Notamacropus eugenii: one gene and its partners. The protein of the gene in region 4 binds, or shares a complex with, the protein of the main gene of each other region. Links are inferred from orthologs where the notes say so. Each region holds a gene or a part of one and is shown on either strand. Other genes may lie near its edges.

What was found.
Region 1: the proteins of SLC3A2 (region 4) and SLC7A8 are in contact, whole or in part, in a cryo-EM structure (PDB 7CMI), measured with the Homo sapiens proteins. The link is inferred for Notamacropus eugenii from reciprocal best matches to the Homo sapiens genes SLC3A2 and SLC7A8. Residues at the interface, in NP_002385.3 of Homo sapiens: Thr162, Gly163, Leu164, Ser165, Lys166, Glu167, Leu170, Ala173, Gly174, Trp178, Arg182, Leu185, Phe189, Trp190, Trp193, Met196, Leu197, Gly199, Ala200, Ile203, Ile204, Ala207, Arg209, Cys210, Arg211, Leu213, Lys532, Arg534, Asp558, Gln559; in NP_036376.2 of Homo sapiens: Leu147, Leu150, Phe151, Pro152, Thr153, Cys154, Phe155, Pro157, Ser159, Gly160, Leu163, Leu164, Ala166, Ile167, Leu170, Leu171, Trp174, Gln294, Ser352, Met356, Val359, Glu481, Thr484, Leu485, Gln488, Lys489, Met490, Cys491, Val492, Val493.
Region 2: the proteins of SLC3A2 (region 4) and SLC7A11 are in contact, whole or in part, in a cryo-EM structure (PDB 7P9V), measured with the Homo sapiens proteins. The link is inferred for Notamacropus eugenii from reciprocal best matches to the Homo sapiens genes SLC3A2 and SLC7A11. Residues at the interface, in NP_002385.3 of Homo sapiens: Glu167, Leu170, Ala173, Trp178, Thr181, Arg182, Phe189, Trp190, Trp193, Met196, Leu197, Gly199, Ala200, Ile203, Ile204, Ala207, Arg209, Cys210, Glu212, Leu213, Lys299, Arg534, Gln559; in NP_055146.1 of Homo sapiens: Leu151, Phe154, Phe155, Ile156, Gln157, Cys158, Glu159, Pro161, Leu163, Ala164, Leu167, Ile168, Ala170, Val171, Thr174, Val175, Val178, Gln217, Gln219, Val360, His373, Thr487, Gln489, Ile490, Ile491, Glu493, Val494, Val495.
Region 3: the proteins of SLC3A2 (region 4) and SLC7A10 are in contact, whole or in part, in a cryo-EM structure (PDB 8WNT), measured with the Homo sapiens proteins. The link is inferred for Notamacropus eugenii from reciprocal best matches to the Homo sapiens genes SLC3A2 and SLC7A10. Residues at the interface, in NP_002385.3 of Homo sapiens: Phe161, Thr162, Gly163, Leu164, Lys166, Leu169, Leu170, Val172, Ala173, Trp178, Arg182, Leu186, Phe189, Trp190, Trp193, Met196, Leu197, Ala200, Ile203, Ile204, Ala207, Pro208, Arg209, Cys210, Arg211, Glu212, Leu213, Arg534; in NP_062823.1 of Homo sapiens: Leu147, Val150, Phe151, Asn153, Cys154, Pro157, Ala160, Val163, Leu164, Met166, Ala167, Met170, Leu171, Trp174, Ser352, Val359, Glu481, Thr484, His485, Trp486, Gln488, Glu489, Leu490, Phe492, Val493, Val494, Tyr495, Gln497.

What each region holds. Positions count from the first base shown.
Region 1 is NC_092878.1:9,925,453-9,933,291, reverse strand, and holds the start of SLC7A8 (large neutral amino acids transporter small subunit 2), read right to left. Parts: upstream 3,001-7,839; 5' UTR 2,849-3,000; intron 2,576-2,848; exon of another isoform or gene 2,468-2,575; intron 2,188-2,467; coding exon 2,037-2,187; intron 1-2,036. UniProt on the Homo sapiens protein: Associates with SLC3A2 to form a functional heterodimeric complex that translocates small and large neutral amino acids with broad specificity and a stoichiometry of 1:1.
Region 2 is NC_092877.1:134,703,257-134,710,309, forward strand, and holds the start of SLC7A11 (cystine/glutamate transporter), read right to left. Parts: upstream 3,005-7,053; 5' UTR 2,880-3,004; intron 2,445-2,879; 5' UTR 2,436-2,444; coding exon 2,159-2,435; intron 1-2,158. UniProt on the Homo sapiens protein: Heterodimer with SLC3A2, that functions as an antiporter by mediating the exchange of extracellular anionic L-cystine and intracellular L-glutamate across the cellular plasma membrane.
Region 3 is NC_092872.1:454,207,861-454,215,336, reverse strand, and holds the start of SLC7A10 (asc-type amino acid transporter 1), read right to left. Parts: upstream 3,001-7,476; 5' UTR 2,923-3,000; coding exon 2,748-2,922; intron 1-2,747. UniProt on the Homo sapiens protein: Associates with SLC3A2/4F2hc to form a functional heterodimeric complex that translocates small neutral L- and D-amino acids across the plasma membrane. Preferentially mediates exchange transport, but can also operate via facilitated diffusion.
Region 4 is NC_092873.1:15,925,251-15,932,253, forward strand, and holds the start of SLC3A2 (amino acid transporter heavy chain SLC3A2), read left to right. Parts: upstream 1-4,064; coding exon 4,065-4,173; intron 4,174-7,003. Other genes in the region: uncharacterized protein, read right to left, coding at 1,465-1,474, 1,680-1,727, 1,970-2,010, 2,536-2,580, 2,760-2,990, 3,185-3,403, 3,460-3,744, 3,914-4,066. UniProt on the Homo sapiens protein: Acts as a chaperone that facilitates biogenesis and trafficking of functional transporters heterodimers to the plasma membrane.

The DNA of each region.
Region 1 (7,839 bases), on a different chromosome or scaffold from region 4:
TACTATTTTTGACAACTTAGCATGGAAAGAGATCTCTCAGCCCAGGCCAAAATACTAGAATGAATATGGCTACTGAGGTGCAGCTTCTGTTGTCTAACCCTCAGGGACCGGTGATCTGTGTTAGGCTTATAGATTTAACATTGAAAGGGACCAGCCTTCTATTTCTAAAAACCAGAAAACAAATCTAGAGATTAAATTGGCCAAGGTCAAAATCTGAACCCAAGCTCTCAGGTTCCAAATTCAGCTCTTTTTTGCATTGTACCACAATGCCACCAGAGAAGCAGTCTCGCAACCAAGCAGTCATCTTAAATAGCAAGCAATCATCACTTTAGCTCATATTTGAACACAATAGCATCCATAAGGGATCTGACTCCTGAGAAAAATAACTTACTCATCATCTCTTGGAACAACAAACACATAAGCTCTTTTGTTACTACAGAACCTCAGAGCTGTTATTTTTGTAACTGGAATGACATTTTCTGGTGCCTGGTTTGGGTTCAAGATTAAACTGTTCTCACACTCAAAAAAGTTCATGGACCAATCCTTGTAGGAACAGCTGAGATAGTATTCATGGCAGCTAAGCATCTCCACTTCCTCAGATTCTTTAAAAGAGAAATAGTTTGTAGACATTCTATATTTAATTAGGATTACAACTCACTGTAGCATACAGGAATCATGTGCGTGTATTGGGGTGCTAGAAATGGGGGGTAAGAATGTATGTGTATATGAGCCTTAATCAGAAACCTGCCTAAAAGGGAATAAAAACATTTAATCCTCTCAGTCATACTGGTGAAAGAGGTGACAGGCTTCAGGCTATTTATAGCCCTTACTGTTAGCGTGTGGTGGTACCTACATGGTACTTTGGCCAAGATCATTTGGGGAGAGATACAAACTAGGCAAATAAAAGTCAGTAAGAGAATGGGATGTTTTTTACTATAATTTTTTTACATTAGGCTTTGGAAAAATTGTAGAAGCCAGACAAGTCCCACCCCACCCCCAATCCACTCAATCCTCTCCCTCCAGCAGAGGTCATAAGAATATGAAGATGAAATGAGCTCCCCAGGGTCCCAATTTAGACGATAACAAGGACCACAGATGATCAAAGCCGGAGAAAAGGTGAGAGAAGTTTATCTGAATTGGCCGGTGGGGGGAAGAATTGTTCCTGGCCAGGCCTTTTCATTTCTCAGAGTCCAAAAGAAATCCCTCTCTGGGGTGTCTGGAATGTGATAATCTTGTTCCTGGGCACCAGAATACAATAAGTTGTAAAACTGGTGTTCAAAAGGAGAAGCGGACAAGCAAATATTGTAATCACAACACAACTTTTCCTAAGTGAGTTAAAACAACACCAATTGTGCCCAAAAGCCAAAGTCATAGGAACTTCCCCAGGAAAGTCGAGCAAGTTGCTATAATCCATCATCTCAATGCTTCGCTAGGAAGAGTGTTGCCTAGAAACTGGACCGAGGCGCTATCGACCACTCCGAGAGATGATGCCACACACCCATGGGTCTGCTACCAGGCACTTTTTCAGGGTGACCCAAGGATTAATGGGGGGCCATAGGCTTCCATAAAATACTTTTATCTGTCTGTTCTTCCCAGCTCCATTTTCAAGTCATTGCTGCTTCTCTGAGAAAGTCTGACACAGTCTCTTCTCTGAAAGAAGTGGGGTAGGTGCACTCGTTAGGACAGACAGCAGAATTGCCCAAAGCTCCAGCCTGGGTCCTGATGTTTCTACGTGCCCACCCCCTCACACAGAGGTTGCAGGCACAAAGATAAACGATGGGGTCATTCATCTTTGGCAGCATTTGGTCAAGTTTTATTGGCTTCTTGGCTTTAAATGAATGGTAACCTAATTTGTGCATCCCTGCAGCTCAACCAGCAGGGAAAAGGCGTCAGTGAATTTTAGGTGCTTTACCAATTGTTTCGATGACAGAAGAATTCTTTAGTTGCTACATGATTCCATAAGGAGCAAGAGGAACCGGGAGGGAGAAATAGAAGCCCATTTAACTCCCACAGAAAGGAAAACCAGTCAGACTCACCTACAATGATGCCGCAAGCACTGACCAACCCAATCTCTTTCTTCAGGGCTACTCCTCCCCCTCCAGAACCAGCATCTGGACCAGGATCAGATTCGCTCCTGCTGCTGGGGCTCTTTTCAGCGTTGTTTCGGTGCCTGGCCTTTTCTTCCATCTTTTTTCGGAAAAAAAAAAATCAACCACTGAAATTTCCTTCCTCTCTGCCTACTTGTCTATTTCTATTTCTTCCTAAGCCTTTCAAATGAAAGAAAATGTCCTTTCCCTAAAATAATGACCCTTCGTCCTGGTCCTTTAATAAAGGCACATGCAGGTAAAAAATAAAATCTCAAGTTTATATTAGTATAATTAAGACACTTTCCCGTCGCTCTAGTTTGCCACCAAAGAAAGTGGCTTAAAAAGGAAAAATAGAGGTGTGTACAAAAATAGAACTGTACCAGCTACTCCCTGTAGAAATCACAGGAGTGAGGGGATGTGGATCTCCTGAACCAGGGCTGAATTCTGCTCAGTTTACACAGGCAGCTGCTTCATTCAGATGCACCAAAGACAGTTTGGATTTCCTTCAGCTCTCTCCTCAGACCAAAATCCAAACTGGCTTTTAGCTCAGCTCGGTTGGCTGTTTTTGTTTGTTTTTTGTTAGAAGGGTAAGACTATTTTTTTCATTGACAATCTTAGAAAAAAGACAATCCTCAGGTGCTTTGTCTTTCAGAAAAACAAACTGCAGACACAGCCGGTTTGCTCTAGATTCTGTTGCACAGGGTGTGGATTTTCCTTTCCTTTCCTCTCTCCTCCCCTTCCCTTCCCTTCCCTTCTCTTGCCTTCAGATTTTGCCCAGTGTTCTTATTTATTCTTAGAGGCTACTCTCTTGTCTTCCTGTCCTAGGTCTGGTTTTCTTTTCTGCTATCTATCTTAGAGCTTGGAGCTCTCCATCTCTCTCCGTAGCCAAAGGAACAGTAGTTTCTTCACGTGTGAAAGCCCTTAGCTCCAGCTGGGGTTTTATTTCCTGAACTCACAGTAAGCTCCACCTCCTCTCCCTTTTCTCTCCATCCTCAGCAGCTTTCTCCTCCCTCTTCTTCGATTTCAGTATTAGCACACAAACCCAAAAGACCTCCAAGGAACACGGGATCGGCAGTTTTCCTCCCTTCCATCTCCCTCCTTTGGAACAAATTGCATATAAATCCCTCTCCTCACAAATGTTCAGGGAGATTCATTAACTGGTATAGCATTACATGTCATGTAACATTTGTGAGCTTTATAAATAAGGGAACAGTTGTGGAGACCGTTTTAACTCCCATTAGAAATAAACTGGACTCATGACAAAGTTTTATAAGAATTAAGCATAGATTCTTTGGGGGTACTAGGAGCAAGGAACCCTGGGATGACTCCAAGTATCTGAAGGAATGGGAGACATGATTTGAGGATATGGAAGGAAAATAAAAGAAGAATTATGATTAATAAAAAGGGGGGCACATTTCCTGTTAGAGATTAACAAATGGAGGGGTTTGTGGTTTTGCTTTTAAAATTATTGTTTTCTTTTAAAATCTGAGGGGAGTGGGGAGGGAGATGAGGGGGAGAGGAAGGGGATGACTGGCTCACAATTGGAAACTTTTACAAGTAGGACCAAATGAGACACTGAGAATGCAAAACTGTTAGACTATGGGCTAAGCTTGGACTCCAGTCATAGGCAAAGAGTGGAACAAATCTGACCCAATGGCACCTTTTACAACTCCATTAAAAAAATGTGACTGGACTGTTTGAATGGAGAAAAAGAAATATTTTACTGATCCAGAGACCAGGTCATGGCTAATAAATTACCTTAATAATGACTAATTCCCCCAGTCCTTCCCCATCCCCCCACTCCCACCCCACCTTAGCCCCAGGTATTTCAGGTTGCATTTTTTTCCTGGAATTCTTTGTATTTCATCTCAGTGGAGAGGTAAAGCATTTTAAAAGTCCTGAAATACTTCAGAAGATTGCATTATAAAACATAAAGTTAATTCCAGCCTGCCTACGTGTTCAGTATACAATGCTTCTGTTTTATGGGGAGGAGAGGTCTAAATGCCCAAGTTCCTTGAGGTTACTGATTACAGAAATCTGCTCAAGAATAACTCCCTTTTTTTGAAAAACAAAAAACCAAACCCCAAACCAAACATATATGCACACAAACGTAATTGAATCTTGAGATTATCAAAGAAAGGTTTGAACCCTAAGATTGGGCTCATGGTAACTTTGCATAGGAGTTAAAAGTCCCTGAGTTTTCAGTCCTTGAAGCTCCTGGCTCACTCATTAAGAGGTTTCAAAGGTTATGGCCCTCAGCCCCTTCCTCTACCTGGAATTTGATAGAGACAAAGCAAACTGAAAGCCTCAGCAAAAAGAGGTGAAAGGAGAAATTCAGCAAAACAGTCAGGGAATGGGGAAAGTCAGAAAAGGAGTCATTGGAAAAGAAACTTTCATTTTGGGGGAGGGGGATGCTGCCTTTGGCATTTGACATTAGGTTTAGGTTATAATTCACAATTAAAATTCTTTTAGTTATTATTAATCAGTCTGGTGATTTCTGTTAGATTCTGTCATTGAGAGGCTCAAAAAAAGTAACTTTTTTTTATTCTTGCAAGTATGGCTTTTTTTCTGTAACTTATTAATGACTAAAAGGATATAAATTTAACATGAGTCTTACCAGATTAATACAAAACCTCTCCAACACAAGAGATAACTAGACTGAGAAAGCTTAGCTCCTAGTTAGTAGACCCTGGAGGGACTTATGGGGCAAGGCAACTTTCTGGGTACAATCATATTAGAAGTCCAGAACTATAGAATTGCTACAAATTATTATTTGTGTTTATTTAGTCCCTAGCTTACTAGTGTGTATACACACACACACACACACACACACACACACACACACACACACACACACATCTAGATCTATATCTCTATCAAACATAGCAAGTTAATTTGTGCTAAACGCCTTATAATTTTTGTCTCATTTGTTCCTCACAACAACCGTGGAAGATAAGATAGCAACTATTGCTATCCCCATTTGACAGATGAGGAAACTGAGATAAATGGGGGTTAAGTGACTTATTAGTGTCTGAGACTGGATTTGAACACAGATCTTCCAGATCCCAGTGTTCAGTGTACTCTGGCACCACCTAGCTTATGTGAAAAGCAGCTTATGAACAACTAGCTATTTCCCTCACTTTACCTAATTCAGCATTTATCCAGAGCCTATTAATATGCCAGGCACTATGCTAGGCATTGGGAATAAGGCAAAAATTAAATAGTTGCTAATATCAAGGAGAATCCATTCTACTGGTTTTCCTGACTTACTTTAAGTCCCAATTAAAATTCTGCCTTGTACAGGAATTCTTCCCTAATTCCCTTAATTCCAATCCTTCCCCACTTTTAGCTATCTTCCAGTTATCATGTATACAGTTTGCTTTGTATTTTTGTCTCCCTCACTAGAGTATAAGCTCTATGCAGAGACATGTAAACAAGATGTCTACATATGTAATAATCTGCTGGGTAAGAGAAGGGGGTCAAGAAAGACAAAACTTCTTGTAGGAGTTAGCACTAGGGCTGAATGAAGGAAAAGGCTGTTAGGAATTAGAAGAGGTAGAAGTGGGGAGGGAGAACTTTTCTGACAAGGGGGGAGAGCTTGTACAAAGGCATAAAAGAAGCCTGTGTCCTATAGGAAACAGGTCAATCAGGCCAGAAAAGAGGGAATGTGAGGGGGAGTGGAATTCATATGGAAAGATAAGTCTGATTATGAAGGATTGTAAGTGTTCAGAGAGAAGTTTGCATTTTATCCTAGGGCCACTGAAATTTCTTGAGCAGGAGAGGTGACATTAATCAGATCTGAGCTTTAGGTAATATAAATTTGGCAGCTGTGTGGAGGATGGGTTGTAGAAATAAATTGGAATAGGGAGATCTATTAGGAGACTCTGGAAATAGCTCAGGTGAGAGATAGTGAGGGTCTGAACCCAGGTGATAGTAGTGTAAGTGGAGAAAAAAGGGACATATGGGAGAGATAATGCAGAAGGAAAATCATTAATATTTTCAACTGATTAGATATTCAATGAATACATGAAGCGCAGGGTACTTTGTAAAATGAACACCCACTAGAATGAGGGATAGTGGAAAGAGCTCTGGTTTTGGAAATTGGAAGATCTAAGTTTGACTCCTCCTGCTTTGGGCCTCAGTTTGCATAAAATGAGGTTATTGGATTAGATGACTGATCTATTTGTTGTACGTTTGTGAAACCTGGATTGTAGACAGTGAAACAGAATCCTTTCCATCTGAATTGTCTTAAGAAGATTCTAAAGATCATCTCACAGGATAAGATAACAGGCACTGAGGTCCTTTCTTGAACTAAACTGCGAAGCATTCGAACTCTACGTCATAGAGCCAACTCTGATGGGCTGGCCATGTTGTTCAAAACATATGCTTGCCAAAAAGACTATTTTATGGAGAACTCACACAAGGCAAGCATTCATATGGTGTTCAGAAGAAGCCATAAAAGGACACTCCCAAGGTCTTTCTTAACTTTGATATTGATTATGACATGGGAGATACTGGCACAGGACATCTCAGTATGGCGTGCCCACATCAGAAAAGGTGCTGGGCCCTATGAGCAAAGCAGAATGGAAGTAGCTCAAAAGAAATGCAAGATGAGCAAATTTAGAGAATTCACCCCAAATGTTCACATGGACTATTTGTGCCCAACCTGTGGTCGAACATTTCGAGCTCATATTGGCCTGAACAGCCACAGTTGGACACACTGAAATTTGATTCTAGCACAGTGATGTCATTTTGATCTTCGACAAGGAAGGACAACAACCAGCCAGTTCTAAACCTTAACTACTTATCTCTGAAGGAATTTGGGGAATTTGGTCTGATCTGTGCATAAGTATTCTTAAAGTTAGGCCAGAAATGTATTCTCCAACATCCTTCTTAATGTGTTTTGAAACTCAAAAGGGATCTACCAATGACAATTCCCACTTTCCACACCAATACCCCATTCTCCATTTTAAATATATTACATACACACACATATGTATATATGTGTGTGTGTATATATGCATATATACACATATAATAATATAAAATATGATAGAATATATAGAATATGTCCTATAGTATATCTCGGTTGCCAACATCTGAATGGGCTTTTAATATTGCTTACTTATGTTAGGAGCAAATTGTTCCCCTTTAACTTGAGAAAGGTAGAAGGGAAGGTGAAATAATTACAAAGGCTGATTTAGTGGCAGGTACTCCCTTTCCAGAGAAAGGCTGAGAGTGGGTGACACCTACTGTTCCAATACAGACATGACATGGTGACGTGTTATTTCAATTAGTCATTTTCTATTTAGTCGTTTTCTGTCATGACTGACTCTTCGTGACCCCATTTGAGATTTTCTTGGCAAAGATATTGCAAATGGTTTGCTGTTTATTTCTCCAACTCATTTTCCAGATGAGGAAACTGAGGCAAACAGGGTTAAGTGACTTGTCCAGGGCCACGATGCTAGTGACTGTCTGAGGCTGAATTTGAACTCAGGTTTTCCCGACTGTAGGCTTGGTGCTCTATCCACTGTGCCACCTAGCTGCCTGTGGTTAATAATGGTTGTTATTAAAGCAAAGGCTTGACTATAGAGATCATCCACTTGTCTTTTTCAGTGAACTCTTTACTTACTCATCATCTATATTAGGTGAGGAAAATAGAAGGGTGAAATTTAAGATTACAGCTATTATTGCATCAGAATTGGGAACTCCTAGGTGAAGAAACTCCATCTACCATAGCAGTTCTACACCT
Region 2 (7,053 bases), on a different chromosome or scaffold from region 4:
AGACCTGGCCTGAAATTCTTCCTCTAATATACTGCTGTGGTGACCCTGTGACCATGGTCAAGTCACTTAACTTCAGCATCTCAGACAAAGCCATGAGATCACAAGTGGCTGATTTGAATTGGTAGAGTTTCCCCAGCAAAAACTGCTTACAATGCAAAAGTCACAGTTCCAGACCAAAAGAAAAATAAATGAAACTAATGGTAAGGTAAAAGACTAGCTGGTAGGAAGAAGTAAGCAAGGAAGAGAAAGGAAACCTAACTCTTTATAAATTTGTCCTAGAAGACTCCACTCCTTGGTTTAATGGCAGAGCTATGGATCCAGTCAACTGGTTTTACATCTATGTAAATTTCCTTATAATGTAACTCGAGTTCTGAAGTTGAATAGAAAAATCATTGGAATGAGATATTTGAGAGTCCAGAAAAAATATGAATGAGTCAGGAAAACCCTAAGAAAATTGACTTAGCGTTTATTCTAAGACAGAATAACTGCTTTGTAGTGGTAAGGTCAGAACCTTCACAGGATCAAAGTCAAAGCTAGAAGGGACCTTAGAGATCATCTAGTGCAGGGGTGGGAAACCTGAGACCTCCAGGCCACATGTGGCCCTCTAGGTCCTCAAATGTGGCCCTTGGACTGAATCCAAACTTTACAGAATAAATCCCTTTAGTAAAACTGTAAAACTTAGACTCAGTCAAAAGGCTGGCCACCAAAGGACCTAGAAATCGATAGGTGGTCCAAGGCCACAGGTTCCCCACCCCCTGATCTAGTCTAACTCCCTTCTTTTAAAGATTAGGAAAACTGAGGCCCAAAGGAAGTCAAGTAGCTTCCCCAAGACCACATGCGTAGTACTAGGAGCCATGTTTTCTGACTCTACTTCCAAGTGATCTTTCTTCTGAATCTTCCGGAATCAGAATATACTCTCCTTGATCCTTAAACAAGCTTATTTAGGACTTACCTTGCTTAAAATGGGTAGATTTAGCTTTCTATTCCTGGTCAGATGATTAACTGGTACTGCCTCATGTACTGGACCAATACAGATGACACTGTATGGATCTGACACTTAATTAAAATTTGGAACAATTTCATTGAGTTTCACTAAGGTAATCTTGTCACCAAACTCTTTGGAACAACAGATGGACACAGGGGAAGAAAATGAGGCTTGGGTATACCCCTTAGACTCCCATCCAACCTAGCTCATCATTTAGGCCACAGATAACTGTAGGGGCCTGACATTTAACAAAAACTCTGAATGATACTTTTTTTTGTTTGAGTCTTGAGTAGGTATCTTTTGGTGTTGTCCATTATTCTTTAAATAGGCTTTTAATGCAGCCATCTGAATTGGGGGAGGAAGCTTCTTTTCCAGGTTCATTAAGTTTCTCTGAGGACATCTTATCAAACTTTAGGACGTCAACAAACTGGCACAAGTGAAAAAAATGACTGAATAAACTGCTTAGACCCGCACCCAACCAAGCTCAATATTTAAGCAGAAGATAATTGAGGTGGGAGGAGGTTGGATATGAAAAGTTATAACATACTAATCATATCCTTGACTGATGCAAGGGCAGAATTCCTCATGGTATGTCCTGCCATATCTTTCTACAGTTCAGTGGCTCACACGGAAAAGTCAGGCCCATGAAGGTGGGGTGTGTGTCTGTGTGTATGTCTGTTTGTGTGTCTGTGTTAGTGTTTTAAGGAAAAGCACTGCCTTACCATTTGTTTCACCAATAAGAAGTCAGGAAAACTGTTGGACAACTCAGCACTGAATGTAACTAGGCCAACCAGATTTTACAATTCACAGAGGCTTCAGGGGCTCAGCCCTAGCATTGCCCAGACAAGCACAAATGTCCAGTGCTTGCCTTTTTATAGGCAATAAAAATGAGTGCTTATTTCCATCACTATAAAGAAATGAAAAGATTTTCTCTTCATCAGGAAAGGGAAATAAAGGAGGTTGGGGAAGGAAAAGAGGGGACTATTCAAGTCATCCAGAAACTCCTAGATGACTTGAATGATTTCTCCTCATTACCACTCTCCTCTACTTCTACTCTAATTCTACTAGCAGACCAGCCACTCACCTCCCAAATCAGCATGCCAAGCTGCATGCCCAGTAGCAGCCTCCCACACACATACCCTCAAGGGACTCCAATTTTAAACATAAACTCACCAAACAGAGACACGAGCCCACAGACCGTCCAGACGATCAGAGACATGCCTACGGTGCCCGTGTTTTGGAGAACTCCTTTGGGGGAGATGAAGATGCCAGCCCCGATGATAGTGCCAATGATGATGGAGATGCCCCTCAGCAGCGTGATTTTTTTCTTCAGCACCATCTTAGCCTGCTCGGGGGCCTCTTTGCTGCCCCTGGAGGTCAAGTGACCTTGAGCATCCCCCTGGAGGTAGTCTCCATTGGAAATGGAGGGCATCACTGGCTTCTTGACCATAGTGGGATTCTGCCAAACTCAAGGGGAAAAATAAAAAGCAAAAAGCAAAAAATACAGAAAAAGAGAGAAAGACGAGAAGAAGGAAGGAGAGGAAAAGAAGAAAGATGAGGAGGAAGAGGAGGACCAGGAGAACGAGAAAGGCGAGAAGCAGGAGGAGAAAAACTTTGAAAACAAGGTCTGGTCTCCCTGATCAGACTGAGTTCGAACTGTTTTCCTGTCCTGGTAGCCTTTCACGCTGCTCTAGGGTTCACAGGTATGGACCTTCAAAAGGTGTGTTTTACGCTTCCCGCCTCCCTAATGCCTCCTCCAGAGCACCTGTGCCTTTCCCATGGCAGCCCGGACCCTTCCGTTCTGCCCCTCGCTGCTGCTGCTACTGCCCTGTCATTAGAACCTAGCTCAGCTCCCTCCAGCGCCCGTATTTAAGCTTCTGTCACACCAACTCACTCCAGCTCAGTGATGATGCAAATTCTCCAGGTTTGCATCAGCCACAGGAGAAGGCTTCAGCATTACTCAGCTCTTTTTTTTCTCCTTTCCCCAAACAGTGGCAGCGTGTAGCCCAACTGACCTGCGCTTTGCAGAGAACAAAGCCTTCACTTAAAAGGCCTCAGGAGCCAATCCAGAGGGAGGAAACCCACAGAGACCCTCCCAGAGGTGGAGAGTAACACTCAGGGAGGCCCCAAGGCTCCTCAAACAGAAAGAAAATGAAACACCAAACAGGAAACATCTACTTCATTTTTATCTGGGATCGCCACCCCTCCCTTCCCCATGCACACGCACGCACCCACACCTCTTTCATGAAGCAGCCAAAAGTTGAAGGGAACATCAAGCTGCATTAGTCACCCAAAGTGCGACCCCCCATGCACACCTTTTTTTTACTTCCTTAAAAAAAAAAAAAAGAAAGAAAAGAAAACTTTTGGTTGCCTAGCAACATAAGCAAATCTATCTTGTAGGTGGGGAGAGAGAGAGACAGAGAGAGAGAGGGAGAGAGGGAGAGAGAGTGAGAGGGAGAGAGGGAGAGAGAGAGTTTTTCCGCACCTTCTTCTTCTTGAAGGGGATTGTGGCTCATACTGAGGGAAGGGAGGGATTTTTTCATTTTGCTCTGACAATACACTTACATTTTCGCCTTGCGAAGGTGTGATCCACGAGAATATGACTACGTTTAAAAACCACAGTTACCCCAACGAGAATCATTCTCAGATTTCCAAGTTACTTGGTGATTTCCTAAAGAGAATTATTTTTGCTGAAATTGACATCCCTCAGGGCATTTTTGTTCCCTGAAGTTAGTTGTAGAGGCTGCAAAGACTACTGCTTTGTGGTTGTTCAGTCATTTCAGTCCTGTCAGAATCTTCCCGATCCTATTTGGGGTTTTCTTGGAAAAGACCTTGGAGTGGCTTGCCATTTCCTTCTCCATCTCATTATACAGATAAGAAAATTGAGGGGGGAAAAGAGACTTAGGTTCAAGTTTAGGCTGCTGCATAAAATGTTATTACCTTAAGCAAATCAACTCACTGCTCAGTTGTAGACTTTCCTTAGTGGAAGGTGTTTGGAATTCTCTATATCCATTGTATCCTTTTGGGTTTTGCAATACTCCTCTGAGATCAGAACTACAAGTATTTTCAGTCCCATTTCACAGATGAGAAAACTTTCCAAGAGGGGTACCAACTTGCCCACAACTACTAAGTGTATTGTGAGGAGGTCAGGGTGGAGAAAGTTATAATCAGATTTTCAGAATTTGCTTTGATTTAAAAAAAAAAAATTCACACGGAAATGACAGGGTACAAGCCCAAGCTGAGATCTTTGTCTCTTGGCCCAGAGGAGTTTTGGTCCCATTTGTCTAGGGGACCCTGGAGGGCCTCACCCCGAGGGCTCCTTGAATTCCTCATATTTGATCTGGCATTCTCTGAGGACCATAAGTTTTTCATTATCACCATGCCCAGATCTCTGTTTTACTCTCCACCTTTATCCTATCAAAATCCTATTCTCCAGGCTACTTTGTACTCCCATCAAGATCCTCTAGATTTAATGTTTAGTCACCCCAGGGTACTGGTCACTCCCATCAAGATCCTGCCTAGATTTGACCTCTATTCTGGTCATTCCGATCAAGATCATACCTCTAGACATTCCAGGCTGACCACCCCAATCAGGACCATCCCTGGAACCCCCAGACTACTAGACATCTCCAGATTCCTCCCATAGTCTTTCTGTATATAGGCTCCATCTTGCCTCCATGAAGGCACTCAGATTCAATCTAAATCAGGATCAATCTAGCTCAGATTGTATACAGCATTACAAATGGTTAGACTCCTTAACAGTCAACCTAATATGGTGAATCTTCAATAAATTTTATTTTACTTTGACTGAAAGAAAGCTTAAGTTGAATTCATTCGACAGGACCCAGTGTATCGGTATTTTGGGGTCCCCGGCACCCTGAATTTCAACAGAAAGAAACATTAAAAAGTGGCAAGGTCTTTCAAGCCCTCTATCTCCCTCTACCAACAAACAGCCTCTGAAACTGGTGCCAAGCTTGTAGGTCAGTGATTGGCTGCTGTTACCTGTGGTTTGGGATTCCAGAATGGGAAGAAGTTATTATCATCCCTCTGCTCTTATCACTTAACCAGCTTGAGGAGCTGTCAGACAGGTGTGAAGGTCAGGGGAGAAGTGAGACGGCTGGAGAAAGCCAAGCAATAGTCCTAGAACACTCAGCCCCTCTTCTGTCCAGTTATCCTCTGGAGTGTTACATAGAGATGCCCAAGAGAGTTCCATAGGCTCAGATTACTTAGAACTGCAGGGGACTATCTCAGTAACAACAAATGACTATATAACTTTTCATAAACACTTTTAAAAGATTTGCAAAAACACCAAAGTCTTACAGAAATTATTTCCTTTGGATCTTGCAATAACCAGTTGAGCTCAGAACTATGAGTATCATTAGCCCCATTTCACTAAAGGGGAAACTGAGTTTCCAAGAGGGGGACTGACTTGCCCAAGGTAATCCAGTTACTAAGTGCCACAAGCAGGATTCAAACCCTAGTCTTTCAGAGTCCAGGCCCAATATACTATTCACCAGTCAATGTAAGAATTGAAATGGATCTCATCTGGTCAACCCATACCAGTACAAGAATTTCCTCTTTATCATACCTAAAATGTTATCATTCAGCTTCTTCTTGAAGGCCTCCAGTGATGGAGAACCCACCACTCTTGAGGTGACCTATCACATTTTTAGATAGTTCTGAATTTTAGGAAGATCTTTTTCATATAGAGTATGTTGTCCAAACCCCTCCTTTAATAATAATGATAACAACGTTTATAAAGTACTTGCTCTGTATGTTCCAGGCACTGTTGCTAAGCCCTTTACAATGATTCTTTCATCTGATCCTCACAATAACCCTGGAAGGTAGATGCTATGATTATCCTCATTTTACAGATAAGGAAACTGAGGCAGGCAGAAGTTAAGTGACTTGCCCAGGGTCACAACTAGCAAGTGTTTGAGGTCAGATTTTGAACTCAGATCTTCCTGAGTCCAGAGTCAGAGCTCTATCCACTGTTCCACCTAGTTGACTCCACATTACAGATGTGGAAACTGAGTTTCAGAGAGAGATAGTAGCCAAGGTGTTGAACATTCAGCACCAGAGTCAGTATTCAAATGCAGATCATCTCAGTCTAAACCCCATTCCCTTTTCTCTATAAGGAAAAGCCTCTGTTTTCCTTACGTAGCCCAGGAATTAGTTCAGGTTTTCATTGCTTCCATACTTTGCAAACTCTTCTGGCCTAAATTCCTTTGAGAAGATTAATTCGTCATTAATATATGGACCATCAACCATCAATCAACGTCAAAAATACAACAGCAAAACCTGGCATTTTTTTAAAACTCTAAGGCTTGGAAATCTCTGCATCTCAGATGCAAGAATCAAGAATGTTGGATAAATGCTGCAAAGAGGTAATTTAGGCTTGATATCAGCAAAGAACAAACAAACCCAACTTCTCAACAATTAGAGCTATACAAGAGGAAAATGGGCAAGTGAGGACAAATGAATGTCCACTAAAACAGAACTTTAGACAAAGATTCTAATGGCAGTCGTCTACCATGACTCCTTCCACCCACCTACAAAATCAGACTATAAGTGTTACTCCTCCAGGTTTCATGCACTTAACACAGTGCCTGGTATGTAAGAGGGGATCAACAAATGTTTATCAATTGACAGAAAAGGAAGAATCCTGGTGTGGAAACTGAGCAACCATAATTAGGGTATAGAGATTGGGGCTCTATCCTATGTAAATGTACTTCCTTCCTGGTGTAGTCTGGAAACTGGCACCCTCATATCTAGTGAATGGATGGATGGATGGATGGATGAATGAACTAACGAACGAACGAACGAACGAATGAATGAATGAATGAAAAAAGACCTTACGAAGAACTCACTATGTGAAAAGCACTATGCCAAGTGCTGGACATATGAATAGTAACGTAATACAGTCCCTACTTTCAAGGAGCTCACATTGTAATGGGGGAGACAACACATATGGAAAGTTTCACCTACAAGTATAATGGAAAGCTGCCTCATCTTCTTCTGCCAGACTGCACTATGTGGCACAATTCCACAGGTTAATGGGAGTAATA
Region 3 (7,476 bases), on a different chromosome or scaffold from region 4:
GTGTCACACATATATTTTCTCCCCAGAGAAGCAGTTGTTAAGCATTTACCATCACATCCCTGGTTTCATTCATCTGTCTCTTTCAGAGCACCAGGCACAGGGCCATGCCACCAGTAGGTACACAATAAATATGATATAGTTGATAGGACTGGTATGAGGAAAACAAAGCAGTTTGTGAACCTTAAAACACTGGGAAAATGTGAATTATTATTGTCTCATTTTCGTCTTTGTTCGGATAGAAATAATCTTAAGAAAGGTCACTATCCTGCTATTATTTCTATATGTTGAATGTTCTGATGACTTTTGCAGAGATGGATAAAGTGACTGCTTTTCATAATTTAAATTATAAGCTCATCTTCTGTAGGATCAAAAAGCATCTGTAGTACAACTCTAGCAGCAGACCAAATCACAGGAATAATATGTACTTGAGCTTAGTCTCACATGGTTTTCATTTCTTCCAATAGGCATTTACATTTTAAAAGCCTTTCTTTCTGTATAGTTTGAAGATAAGGAGTACTTGGTATGGTGACATCAATTAAACACATTGTTCTTAAATGTCTATGACTCAGAGTTAGCTTCAGGTATCTATAGGTGACAGTCTTGTCTGGGATAATGCTATGGTCCCTGTATATTTTATTTATTGAACTATTAAGGTCATTTGGAAGTCTGTATTATAGTATGGAGATTTATTGTCTATTAGGTTATGGATGATAGTGAGGCTCTGATGTATTCTGGCTACTAGGTTGTATCTTCCTAGGTATTCAGTAGGTGCTATATTTTTACAACCTGCAATGACATGTTACTCAATTTCTGCCATTTCCTCGCATGATTTGAAGTAATCAATAAGTCTGGGCTCCTTCCAGTCAACAAACATTTATTAAGCATCTACTGTGTGCTATAAGAACAATCCTTCTGCAATTTCTGGTGTCAAACATCTAGTCTTGAATCATCACCATCATCATCATCATCATCAATCACCCTCATCATCATCACCAGTATGGCATAGTGAATAGAGAGCTAGCTTCTAGGCCTAGAAGACCTTGCCCCTGCAAGTCATACCACTGACATTTTGGCCTGCCCTCTGAATCTTCAAGGTCAAATACTTCCCTTATTTGTGTGCTCTTCATTCATTCCCTCCTTTTCAGACCAAGCTCCTACTTCCTAATAGTACCTCTAACCTAGGACTTGCTACTTCTCGAAGCACTTTCTTAGTCACCATCCCACTTAATCTTCACAATTTTCTTTGAATTAGCTCTCCTAAACAGATATTGTTATCCCCACTTTACAGAGGAAGAAACTGAGGTTCAGACGGAGAAATGATTTGAAAGTCACTTAGCAAGTTAGTAGCAGAACTGGAACCCTAACCCAAATGTACTGTCCAAGGCTGCTTCTCCCACTGCCTCTTAATTGCCGCCCCTCCCTAGTCGCTATTCACTCTGGGGGGAAATAAAGGTAAGCCCAGGTGCTGAACCCCTGTAAGGAGAGGCAGCCTCTCTGCAAACTAAACACGCAGCCCCGCAGTCCAAAACTGTTCTCCTTCTCCCTTCTCCCGCAACAATGTTTTCAGCTCTCCCGAAGCTGTTGGCTACATCTCTTTTTCCCTCTTCGGTACATTGCCACAATTTCCTCTCTTCCTGCTCTAAAGTTTTTCGTGAAGTTTTCTCTCCTTTCCTATAAAGTTCCCACAACAAAAGTTCTACGCCACAATATAGTCTCCTCTTGTGACTATTTCTTGCTACAGGTTCTCTGCTCCCTGGGGATTCTGGTGCGATAGCATCACCCCATCCCATACCTGACCTCGACTTCTCCCCTTAAAAATCCTCTCCTTTGGGACATTCTCTGCAGCTACCAGTCCCTCTTCCGAAGCCTTGACCCTTCCTCCTCCCAGCATCTAGGCTCCCAAAGTAGCGCGAGGTCCTCCAGTCTTCCAGCACCCAGCTTCTGGAGAGGAAAGACCAGCTTGGCAAGCGAAACTTTGCGCACTAATTTAGGCGCTTAAGAGAAAAGAAAGTCCTTTTGCTCGGTGAGAGGAGCCTGGTCCCCTATGATTGGGGAGACGGAGGTATCCCGGAAGAGGAAGATCACTGTGCTGGGTTTGATGAGACTGGGTACTGGGGCAAGAGACTGGGGCCGGGGAGGCGCGCGCGCTCTATGTTCGGACTAGGGAGGTGGAAACTGGCGTTTGATTCTATACTTCGGGAGCTGGGGCACCCACGACTGGGAAACTGTTTTCAGACAGGGAGGACTCTGGCCAGGACAGGGTGGGACGTAGCCCTGAGACTCAGTATTTCATCTGCTGTGGCTGCTCCTGAGCTCCTCTCTTAGTGCCACGAGGGCAGATGGGGACATCGCCGATTCGCGCTATGCCGAGGGCCCTGCATCGAGGCCGTGGTCCCGGCGTGGGTGGATGTTGCCAGGAAGTGTTTGCTGAGGGGAGTGGGTGGGGGTGAGGCACGTGTCCCTGACCTCTCGGGACCAGTCCCATCCCATCCAGTCTCGTCCCTTCAAAGGAGGGTGTCCCGGGCGCGGGTCGAGCCGGGCGGGGGCGCTGCGTGCCGAGAGAGCGAACCCCAGAGCAGCTGGCACTCCAACAGGTTTGACTGCAGCCAACTTTGCTCAACTTGCTGGGGGCCGTGCTGCTCCCAGAGTGCCCAGTGCAGCCAGCTTGCCCGGGTCCCCAGTCCGACCCCAACAGCCTCCCTCCCCCCCTCCCTCTGTCCCAGCCCGGGATACCGGCCCCCGCTCACCAATGATGATGGCACAGGCGCTCACCAGCCCAATCTCCTTCTTCAGAGTCACCCTCTCTTCTACCCGAGCTGGGGCCGGAGCTGGGGTGGCGGCCAAGCCGTCCGCAGGAGAGCTTGGGCTCGGACTAGGGCCCCGGTCCCCGCCCCCGCTCGGCTGCTGCGTCTGTCCGGCCATGTCGCTGTCCCCGCGTCCCCTACTCAGTCTGCGCCCGGTCCGCGCCTCGCAGCCACGGGCAGCGCAGACCTGCAGGCGCATGCGCTGGCGCTCCGCCCGGGGTCCGGGCCCTATCCCCTGGAGGGCTGGAGGACGGGGGAGGGGCCCCAACGCGGACACTGACCGAGAGACCCTCCCTTAAAGCGAAATCTTCAACCCTGAGCCCCGGGGCTCCTTAAGATAGAGGATCAGAAGGAAAAACTTTGAGACTGAGCTGCCAAGGTCCTGGGAGAAGTCTGAAGGGCCCTTGGAACACCATTTTCATAGATCTGAATTTGGATATTCTGATGCCTGCAAGCAGTGAGTTAGACCTACCCAACCTCTTGAGAACTCTGTGCCCGACCCTGAGGAAATGGCACTTTTGATCCAGGGGATACAGCTTATTAGGGACATAAGCTAACCTTCATCCAGATGAGCCTCCAATACAGGAATCTATAATATGTTGTCTCAGCCCAATACCCTGGGAATGTTACTGATAATCTTCATCCTCCCCCAGATGAGAGGGGATTTTGGGTTGTCTCCTGAAGGGCAAAATGATGGAGGACTTTGAGCATCCCACATTTTCTCGTCTCCTGTTCCCCATAACCAATGAGCCAAAGGTTGGGGACAATTCAGTCTGAGGAGAGGTCTTAGTCCGTGATTAGAGTTAAGGGGTTAGTCTGTCATACCAGGATCAGCATCTAGTCTGGTACCAGGGTTCATCTCAGTCTAGGGTAAGGGTCATGGCTTCATTTGAAGTGGGACTTAAGTCTCAGTCAGATTTAGGGATTAGGCTATGGCCAGGGCCAAGGCTCAATGTGAAGTCAGTGTCTGGTCGGGGGATTTGAAATGAGTTCCAAAGAGAGTCGATTCTAAACATGTCTTCATTCAACAAGTATTTAATTGAAGCCCCGTTTGCCAAGATGGGTGTTTTGAGGAAGACAAAGGTGGTTAATAAGTTGGATTTAGTCACCAAACATATATTACACATACACTTCAACAGACATTCATTAAGAGTCTATTATGTGCAAGGTCTTGGCTACTACGATAGATAATTGATTTCGTTTACATAGCTTAGATAAAACAGGCTCTTGGGTCTCGGAACTCATAGTTTAGAAGGGTGATAAGATACAAAAATCCATAATGATAACAGAGCGCATGGAACGTGAATTAGAGAGGTAGAAATCAAAGGGCTCTGAGAGTCTGAGGGAAGAAACTGATACCAAGGAATTCAAGGAAGTGATTCAAGGAAGGCTTCAGGAAAGGGGCCTTTGGCAAGACCTGTAAAGAACAGGTAGGAATGCAAAAGGTGAAGAAGGAAAGGAAGGTACTTCTATATTTGGGAGAGGAGAAAGGAGTGAGCAAAGAGATAGAAGCAGATAGTATGATGCATTTAGCAGACAGAAAGACCAGTTTGGCCAAAGTGCAGAATGAGTTGAGAGATAGAGTTGGAAAAGTAGGTTGGAACAGTAAAATATAAACTTAGCGAGGGCAGAAACTCCTTCACTGTTGAAGCTAGGAGGCTCAGTGAATAGAGTGTTGGGCCTTGAATCAGGAAGATCTGAGTTTAAATCTGACCTCAGAAACTTATTATGTGATACTGGGCATCTCACTTAACCTCTGTTTGCCTCAGTTTCCTTATCTGTAAAATGAAGATTATAATAGCACTCATCTTGTTGTGAGGATCAAATGAGATAATTATAATATACTTAGGACAGTGCCTGGTACATAGTTAAGTGCTGTGTGAATATTAGCTATTATTATCTATATTTCTCATACAGTAAGTGATTATTAAATATTTCTTGGTTGATTGATCAGAGGCCTTGTTTGCCATAAAAAGGAAGTTGAATAGTGGCATTGCAGATAGAAATAGTGAAGTCAGAAGGGTGAGTTGGTTTAGGGAAAAGATAGTAAACTTGGTTTGGGATATGTTGAATTGGGTGGGGACAACTAGATAGACATGACATATGTAGCTAAAGGTGATAAACTGGATCTCAGAAGGAGGTCACAGTTTTCAATACATTCCTGGGAGTTATAGTATGCCTGGGGGAGGGGGAGTATGAGAATGCCAAGGTAGATAGTACCGGCTGGAAAGAGAAGAGGGCTAAACTAAAGACAGACCATGGAGAACATTCATAATAGAGGTTAGGAAGTGGATGAAAAGCAATAGTGATAGAACTGGTTAGAGAGGAAGAAGGAAGAGAGGTTTAGTTGCTCTGAAACCAAGAAAAGGGAATACCCAGGAAGAAGGAATGGTGAACTATGCCAAAAGCTTCATAGACATAAAGGGTGGCAAAATTGGGATCCAAGAAGATCTCAACAGACTAGAATAATGGACTGAATATAATTAGATCAGTTTACATTTGGAATCTTGGATGGATCTTTTGCTGTGGTCCTCTTTCAATGCCTCTTTGGGGATATGGAGGCAACCTTACTTTCTTGAAGTGTGTCAGACAAGCACAAACACTAGAAGGGCCTACTAAGCTGAAAAGAAATTTGACACAGACAATGGAATACATATCTCTTATGTAAGGAATATCTCATTCATTTATGAGAAGCTTAGCAGGTTGTCCATTTGGCACTGAATTTTGGCCATAATAATTAATGAAGATCATCTACCAAGGGGCAGAAGTGTTTTGTGATCAGTGTTTACCTAGAGAGTAGTCACAGTGACAAAATCATAAATGGATCTGAGTTCTTTCTGACGTGGGCACCTCTTTCTCAGGAGTATGTTCCATCCCCAAGTTTTCATGTTATGCCTATTGGTCTATTTTTTAATTCAGATTTTACATTGAGGATTCAACCATTGTACTGGAGACCTTCCTTTGCTAATTTTAATATCTTAGGGATTCCAGTGGAGCACTTGAGCTAGCCATCTATTAGATCTCACTCTTGCTACCTGTTTAGCTCACCTCCTTGTCTGGATATACGTGTTCGTGGTATCTCTTAGGTCACATTTAGCATACAAGTCATCATTATTAAAGCAGCTAGGTGGTATAGTGGATAGAGTGCCATTATTATCATGCTACCCTTGCTCACATCCTTTATCTCTCTTCATTGCTCTTTGGGTAGCCTGCAGTTGTGATTCCTCTGAGGTAATGGTATTTCAGAGAGCATAAAATTAATAGGCTTAAATGTAAAGTACTACCTGGGTTAAAAAAAATTGACTGTACAAATACAGCATGGGAAGAAAGTTTAACGAGGTAACAATTTGAGTAAAAGGAACCTGGGAGTTTTGATGGACTGCAAGGTTATTATAAGTCATCAGTATTAACCTAGCAACTGAAAAAGCAAACATCATTTTAGGTTTCATTAATAGACGCTTAACGTCCAGAACAAAGGAGGTGAAAGTCTTGCTGTACCTTGGACAGACCACACTCAGAACATTGTGTCTGGTTCTGAAAGCTAAATTTTGTGAAGAACGTTGACACCCTGGGGGGCAGACTTAAGAGCAGTGAGTTATGGAGAAGGAAGCCTGATAATCAGAGGTGCCCCAAAGTGGAAAGGATTGTCCCTCTTCTCAAATCCTTTTTTCATCTTCTTCTAATTGTAATCTTTCTAATCCAAGATGTTTTCAGTATCCTCTCTCCTGGCACCTTTGGTTTTCACAACAGCCACAGGAAAAGTGCTAAATTCCTGTCATGCCATTCAAGGTCCTCCACAATCTGATGTCACTCTACCTTTCTTATGTTCCACAAACTGATATATTTACAAGCCTTGAAACAGGCAGAGCTTATTACTGCCCCTGCAACTCCTTTTCCTTTCTTTCTCTCCAAAGTCTCTCCTTGGAGTCTTCCTTAATTATTCCAAACTTTCTGTCTATTCTATTCTCCAGGAAAGATATAATGCTTTTATCTAACTTTTAATTTTTGTCCACTAACAAAAATTTATGCCTCCTACAAATTCCATTGGGAAAAAAGGAGAAACAAAAACCCTGTAATAAATATGCATATATCAAAATAAATTCCCACATTGGCCATGTCTAAAAACTGTGTGGCTCATTTTGCACCCTGAGGCTATCACCACTCTTTCAGGAAGTGGATAGCTTGTTTCATCATTAATCCTCAGAAATTGTGGCTAGTCATTGCAATGGAGACATAACTTTTTCCAGAATTCTTTTTATAATTCTTTTCCTGAGAAACATGGGGTGAGCACAGTCATAAGATCCTATGATTTAGAACTGAAAGGGATCTTAGATATAATCAAGTCTTACTTCTTCATTCCTCCCCTTCCCCAAAGGAAATCATGGCCCCTAAAGGGAAAGGGACTTGCCCAAGGTCAGTAAATAGCTGAGAGCAGGGCACTTTAATAGGACTGATTCTAAACCCGGTCCTTTTTCCTCTGATGCCATTTGACAGTGTCTCTACTAGGTCAGATTGGAAGCTCCCAGAGGTCAGGCTCTGAGAAAGAGAAAGCTGATGGACTGAATGAGCCTCAAAGATCTCTACAAACTAAAATAGTCTGACTCTAAGATGCCACTTAACACTAGTTAACACTCCTCACTAGTTCAAAGACTCAACTTACAATTTTGTTTAA
Region 4 (7,003 bases):
GCCAGCAAGGGGAGGAGGTGCCTTAATCTCCAAAGCTCAGGCAGCCAGTGCCCAGCCAAGCGTCCTTCCACAAGACCTCAGAGGACCCCCAATCACCCCGCCCCAAGGCTCCTCCCCTGGCCCCAGCCCAGCCAGCTCAATGTAGCAAGCATTGGCCTGGCCTTAAGTGCTCTTGGGATAATGACAGATTTCTCATTGGAACACACCAGGCTCAACGATAATCTAGGTTTTCCATGGGCAAATGAGTATTTAAAGAATGGGAGGAAGAGTGGGACTTAGCCAGGACATGATTATGACAAAAGACCCCTCAAAATTGCCCACACCAGGGCTGCTGAACTCATCAAGCTTAAAGATAATCGTACACCCCCATTTGTCCCACCCCCAGGTGACCAAACAGAATGATGGAACAAACTCAGAGAAATAAAATTTTATTAGCAAAAAACAAGGTAACGTCCAGCTCTTTTTCACAATGATTCAATGCCACACATGCAGGGTGTTCTGGCAGTACAGAAAATGATCTTCTCATATTCCAGTTCCTTCAAGAAAAAGAGGTGGTCACTTTGGAGGGTTCCCTCCAAACAGGAGACAAAGCATACAGAAGAGGTTAAGTTAAAGATCCCTCAGACAGTTCTCTCTGGAACAGAATCTCCTCCTGCCTCCCAGCCAGCCCCAGTGGGTTCAACCTTTGCAGGTTCTGGGGCAAGGTCAAGGAGTAAGACAGGTGGTGTCTTCTTCACTGGGATCCTCATTCATCACTCCCCAGATCCCATACCATTTAAACACCCTTCAGTTACAGTGATGAGGCCGGGCCTCTTATTGAGTTTATTCTGTATTTTAAAAATGTCTTCCATCTTTATCCTCCCCCAAACTCACCTAAGGTTCCTTTGCCAGGAGAGAACCAGGGAGAGCCAGCCTGTGGAAGAATAACACGAGTGAAAAAACCAGCCCAAAGCCCTGTCTTTAGGTGTTTCAAGATGATGCCAGGTGTCCCAGGGGACTGCTCATTACTCAGAACAACCTATCAGTCACTGGAATCAATCAGCCTGGGGCGGTATTCATTTCATCACTGGAGGGAGCAGGCCCCAGGGGCAGGAGAGGGAGGGTGAACTGTGGTTGGTTGGGGAAGCTCACCTGCTGCTATGGATTAGACTTCCATGCAGACAGTGCTGTCCTGTCCCCATGCCAGGTGGCCAGAGCCTACAACTTTGGAAAAAGCCAAGTTAGTTTGCGCGGGTCCCTCTCCAAGACCAGGGCTGCCCCAGAGGATCTTTCCTGGTCAGATATGCACATCTCAACAGGGGGGTTCAGACGAACGAGATTCTATGAACGCATCATGTCAGGAGGCCTACCAAAGAACTTATTACCCAGGGATCACCCGGCCCCAATGGGTCCAAACAAATACTTACATCGCAATAAATGGCCTTCCAGCCTGCCCTGCCCTAGGCAGTCTCCTTCAGGCAGTTCTTAGAAGGACCTACGGAGAGAACGAGTCAGTCAAATCCCAGTCCCTGCCCGTAGGACCTCGCTTCCCCTTGGTACGGTTTCTCAGATGTTCAAGCCTTTTCATTTTATACAAATCATAGTGAGCTAGTTAGACTCATCACTGAAACTGTACCCCAGGCCATTTCCCCAAAGGCCAAAATGATTCATAAAATCTGGTGGTCAAGTAGTCAACTAACCTTTTCTTGAGGAGGGGCCAGCTGATGGAAACAGGAAAGCTGTGAAGCCTAAAACACAAACGTTGAGGGATTAACCAAGTTGCCTTCCTGCTGATCCACAAGCCTCTGGAAGGGCCCTGTGCGTACCTCAGACAGTTCTTTCTGAACAAGTCATCCTCCTCTCCCCCAGCTAGCCCCAGTGGGTTCACCATTGCTGGCTCTGGGGCCAGGACTGGGGTTAAGACGTGTGTTTGCTCTCCTCATCGGTACCAGGGCGATCCCAAAGCTAACGAATCACGAAGATTACTTACCACGGTCTTCTCAGCCTGGTGCAGCACAGCTCGGCATTGCCCTGACAGATGAAACACGAGCAGGTTAGGCAATGCCTTAAACACGGCTAGCAAAGGGAACTCTGCAGCCCCCTACGGTTGATCAGGGCTTTGGTGACTCGAAAATGCCATAAGACACATGTCGTCCATTAGATAATGGGCTCACACCCACATCATCAATTCAAACCAAGGGCTCACAGGCATGCAAGGGAACGGCAGAACCAGGAGGGGCCACTTACTTCTTAAGGAGAAATGTGAAGGTAGCACGGATCAAGCAGATCTGGGAGAGAGGGAGGGAAGCGGGCGGGTCAGAGGGACCAAGGCTGGGGCGGGAACTCTTCTCAACAAGAGCTGCCATCAGAACTCTAACATGCTATAAGAACGGCGGGTCCTCACAGAACAATCAGGAGGTCAAATTCCAATCATCTGACAGGGGGCGGCGGAAGGCGCGGGGAGGTGCCCTCCCTTCGGGCTTCCCAGAAACCTGCAGAGCTGCCCCGAGGAAGCCAGAGAGGACACCCCGCCCCAGCTCCCTCTCGCGTCATTACCTGCAGCACGTTCCGGTCCGGTCCGGTCCGAGCAGGGAAGCCAGCCTAGAGAAACAGAGCGCGTTCACCGTCGGGCCCCGCGCTCGACTCCCTCCTCACAAAGGGCCGCCCCCTCTCAGAACACTGAACGACATCAAGGACTTCAGCCATATGCTTGTCATGGATCATTCATCACGGCGGACACGGCCCTCCACTCCCCGCGGGAGGGCTCGGGGGGGACTCACCGGGAGCGGCATCAGCGGGCCACGCGGAAGGCCGGGGCGCCGGGCACGGCCGGGGCGCCGGGCACGGGCGGGGCGGCTGCTGCAAGGCCGGGGCGCTGGGCACGGGCGGGGTGCCACCTGCAAGGACGGGGTGCCGGGCACGGGCGGGGTGCCACCTGCAAGGCCGGGGCGCCGGGCACGGGCGGGGTGCCACCTGCAAGGCCGGGGCGCCGGGCACGGGCGGGGCGCCACCTGCAAGGACAGGGGCGGCTGCTGCAAGGCCGGCCTCTCGGAGGGGGTGCCCCCCCGCCCCCCGGGGCCAGGCTACTCAGGACGGCAGCTTTCTCCACCGAGCCATCAGAAAGAGAGAATTCCAAGTCCGGGTCATCCTCGTAGCTGCACGCGGGCGCCCGGAGCCCCCCCCGGGGCCAGCGCCCCCCACTCACCCCGGCGTCGGGCGGCGGCCCCGCGGACGCGGCTCCCAGCCACGGCGGCCCTGCGGGAGGAGGCGGAGAGGCGGGTTGGGGGGGGCCCGCACCCTCGGGGTGTGCGCTCTGGGGGACGGGCTCCTTCTCAGAACGATTCTCGTCCTCACAGAGCGTCAGCACAGGTCTGTGAAAGGGATCATCACCGAGGGGGCCTCCTGCCCCCCCCCCCCCGGGGCACTAGCGTGGACGCGCCTCCAGGGCAGGCCCCGGCGCCGGGGGCGCCTAATGATTACGTGCCGTCGACCGCTCGGCCACGGCAGCTTCCCTGCCCCCGGCCCGGGGGTGCGCGCATGCGCGCCAGGAGCTCGGGGGGGGGGGGGGGCAGCCGCGGCCCGGGAACCCCCCCCAAAGGGGGCCGCTGGCTTGGCCGACGAAGTCGTTAGGAAGCGGGAAGCCAGGGGCGCCGAGCGAAATAAATGTGAAAATAAGCTCTCGCTCCCCTCTCCACCCACCCGGTCGTCAGAGACACCGAACTCACCGGCGGCGACAAAAGAGGACGAGAGAGACGCGGAGAGGGGCTTAAATACGGGCTCGCAAGGGCTCATGGGATGGTGGAGGAAAGGGAGGGGGGGAGGGAGCGGGAAGGGGAGGCGCATGCGCAGCGGCCTTTTCTCCGCGTGAGCGCTCGGGGCTCCCGGAGAGAACAAAGGAAGGGGGTGGCCGGAGGCGCGCGCCGAAGCCGCCTACGCCGCTGGGGCCGGGGTGGGGCGGGGCGCACGCACACGTGTGTGCGCACGCGCTTCGCTCGGCCGGCCTCCGCGCCCGCCCGGCCTCGCGGGCCCGCCGGACCTGCGCAGGAGGTCTCGGCGGTGGCCGGTACTCCCGGCGGACGGCGGCCATGGATCGGCGCTCTTCGACCGCGCCGCTCAAGTTCGGCCGCCCCCGGCCGCGGGCGGTCGTGCGCTTCCTGGGCCTCGGGGACCGGGACTCCAGCGCCCGTGGCTCAGGTACTTGGGCCCCGGCGGGGGGCGCGAGGCAGCCCTCGATGGTGCCGGAGAGAGGTCGGGCCCTCTCCTTGGAGCCGGGGTTCGAGCCGGGCCGCCCGGTCCCCCAAGCACTCGGACCCCTCCCCCTGCCCCGCCACGCACTGTCCACACTCCACCCTCCGGGCCTTTGCCCAGGCCTCCCCGGCTGTCCTCCTGGCTCCATGAATTTTCAGTGGCCGTCCTCGGGAATGCTCTCCTTCCTCGTTTCCTCCTCCTCCAGGAAACCTCTTCCCTTGGAGCCGTCTGCACTTGCTCCTCTCTCCATGGCTGGTCAGACGTACTTTCTGGGTGATTTAATAACTTTGGGACTAAGGCCAGCATTTTCATAAAAGCGCGGTCACTTGGCCATCTTTCTTAGACCAAAGACCATCATGTTGGTGGGCTCACCACTTACACGGACAGCACTCCCATCAGCTTTCATTGGCTAACCATGAGAAAATGAGCATTGCAATTCAAATGAACTTTGGGTTATTTACTTCGAACCCCTAGCCTTAAGCAATCTGCAAAGAATTTACCCCCATCCACACCGAGTACAGTACAATGGCTTCCCCCGTACTGGGTCTGAACTAGACTACTAAGAACAGTCTCATTATGACTAACGACCTAGAAAAAGGGGGGAAACTCAATCTCCCCAAATTATTGGTTATTAATAACTTCTCTCAGGTATCATTGCCTGAAAGGAAATCAAAAGGCCTTTTTTCATTTCTGTTGGACCTCCAAGATACTCTTCAGCCTTGGACACGCTGTCCATCCCAGTTTTCTCCACCCCCGGCCATCTTTCACCATACTTGTTAGCCCTGGGCCTGTTGAGTCAGCTTCTCTTTAGTCTCCTGTTGGATCATCAGCACAGTCATTCCTACTCCCCAAGGGGCCTTTTCTCATTTTGTGTTTTTCTTCCTGTTGTCCGTAGCTCTGATGGGTTCACTTGCCATCTGTTTGCAGATGATTCCTGGATCAATACTTCCAGCTCTCATTTCTCTCTGGAGCTCTGCTCCTTCATTGCCAGCTGCCTTCTGGGCATCTCCAGCTCAACATGTTCCCTTCTGATATAGTGGCCACCCTAGTTTAGGCCCTGGTCACCTCTCCCCTGGACTATTTAAATAGCCAGTCTTCAGTCTCCCTGCCTCATGTTTCTCCCCACCCCCATCCATCCTTTGATCAAAAGTGATTTTCCTAAAGCACAGGTCAGACCATGTCTTCTTCCCTACTCTCAGTAAACTCTAGTGGCTCCCTCTTGCCTCCAAGATCAAACATAAAACCTTCTTTGTGGCATTTAAAGCCCTTTCCTCCCTTTCTATTTCCCTCTGTGTCCTCTTGATGGGACACTGGCCCCCCTTCTGCTATGTTTTGGGTTTTGTCTCCCCCACTTTAAGCAGGTGACACCAGCCCCATGGAAAGTACTTAATACATTTAGAGAGAGTGCCTTCTCTGAATCTGCTGAGCTTTTCTTTTGACTGCAGGTTATTATAGGATCTAGAACTAGAAAAGATGTCAGGGATCTTGTCCAACTCCTTGATTTTACAGTCATAGTGTGTAGTCCCTTGTGGTGTGGGATCGATGCAAGGGGATGCTGGGAAATGTTTAAAAACCTGACTCTTGGGGAAAAAAGTACTCCAGGCACACTTGTAAATTTAATCATCTTTGTTCTAAGTGTAGACTAGGAGTGGGGAACCTTCTGCCTTGGGGCCATGAAGGTACTCCATCACTGGTCTTAACAACCAACAAAACAGTAAGTCAAGCTTCGCTTGGTAGTTTGGTGATTTCTGAGCAGGTGAATGCTCACTTCAACAATTTAACACCTGACTCTTTCTGCCCCGTTGACCTGGCTCCAGGACGCCCTTGGCGTGTTCCTTTTTGGACTGGTTTTGGACCAGTCATGTAGGGTGAGAAAGAGGGGAGATGGCTACGCAGGGAGGCCAGGCTGAGATGGCATGGCTGAGCTGGCATGTGGCCCATGTCTCTCATCACTCCAAGAAGGGCCCAAAAGCTTGAGAGCTCCCCAGGGTTTAACTGTCATCTCCATACAGATGAATGGCCTTGCCAGAGGTTACATGGGAGGGTTAGGGAAGGAGCCTACACTAGAAACAGCTCCCTCCCATCTCCTGCAGTCTGGTAACAAAGCTGCCTCCATTTGGATGGCCCAGGCTAGTCATGCTTCTGTCTCCTCTGGCCTTTGATCCTCCAGACTTGACCCCCAGCCTCGCTGGTCCCTTACCCTCCCTTTAATGGATTGGCTTTTCCCATTGGAACATGAGCCCTCAGAGAACAGGGACTGGCTGTGGCCTGCCTGCCTCGGCTTAGAGAGACCCCCAAGGCAAACAGGCCCTGCTCCTGGACAAGCCAGTGCTGCAGTCATCCCCATTTTACAGGTGAGGAAACACTCAGAGAGTTAGGTGATTGGTCAACACATCCTAGTGTTGAAGAGACAGGTGGGAGAGCTGGTTCAAAATGTGGATTCACTTAGACCTTCTCTGTAGCCATTGGGAGCTTTACTGACACAAAAGCAGCGGGCCTGAGATTTAACAAGGAGCTAAACAAAGGCAGTGAAATAGGAAAAGGACCAGACTTATATAGGGTGATTTTAGGGTTTCCTGGTGGGAGGTTGGAGATCTTGGGTAAGTCTTGCAAGATAAAAACATGGGTAAGGGCTATGAATGACACAATATAAGGAAGATAAGGAAATCTTATTCCCAGGATGAGGGGTAGGAACAAAGAATTTTATGATCCCCCCAGCAGGATAAGGGGAATTTTTGTGGTAAGGGGAGACTTTAGGGCACCTAGGGCTTCACAA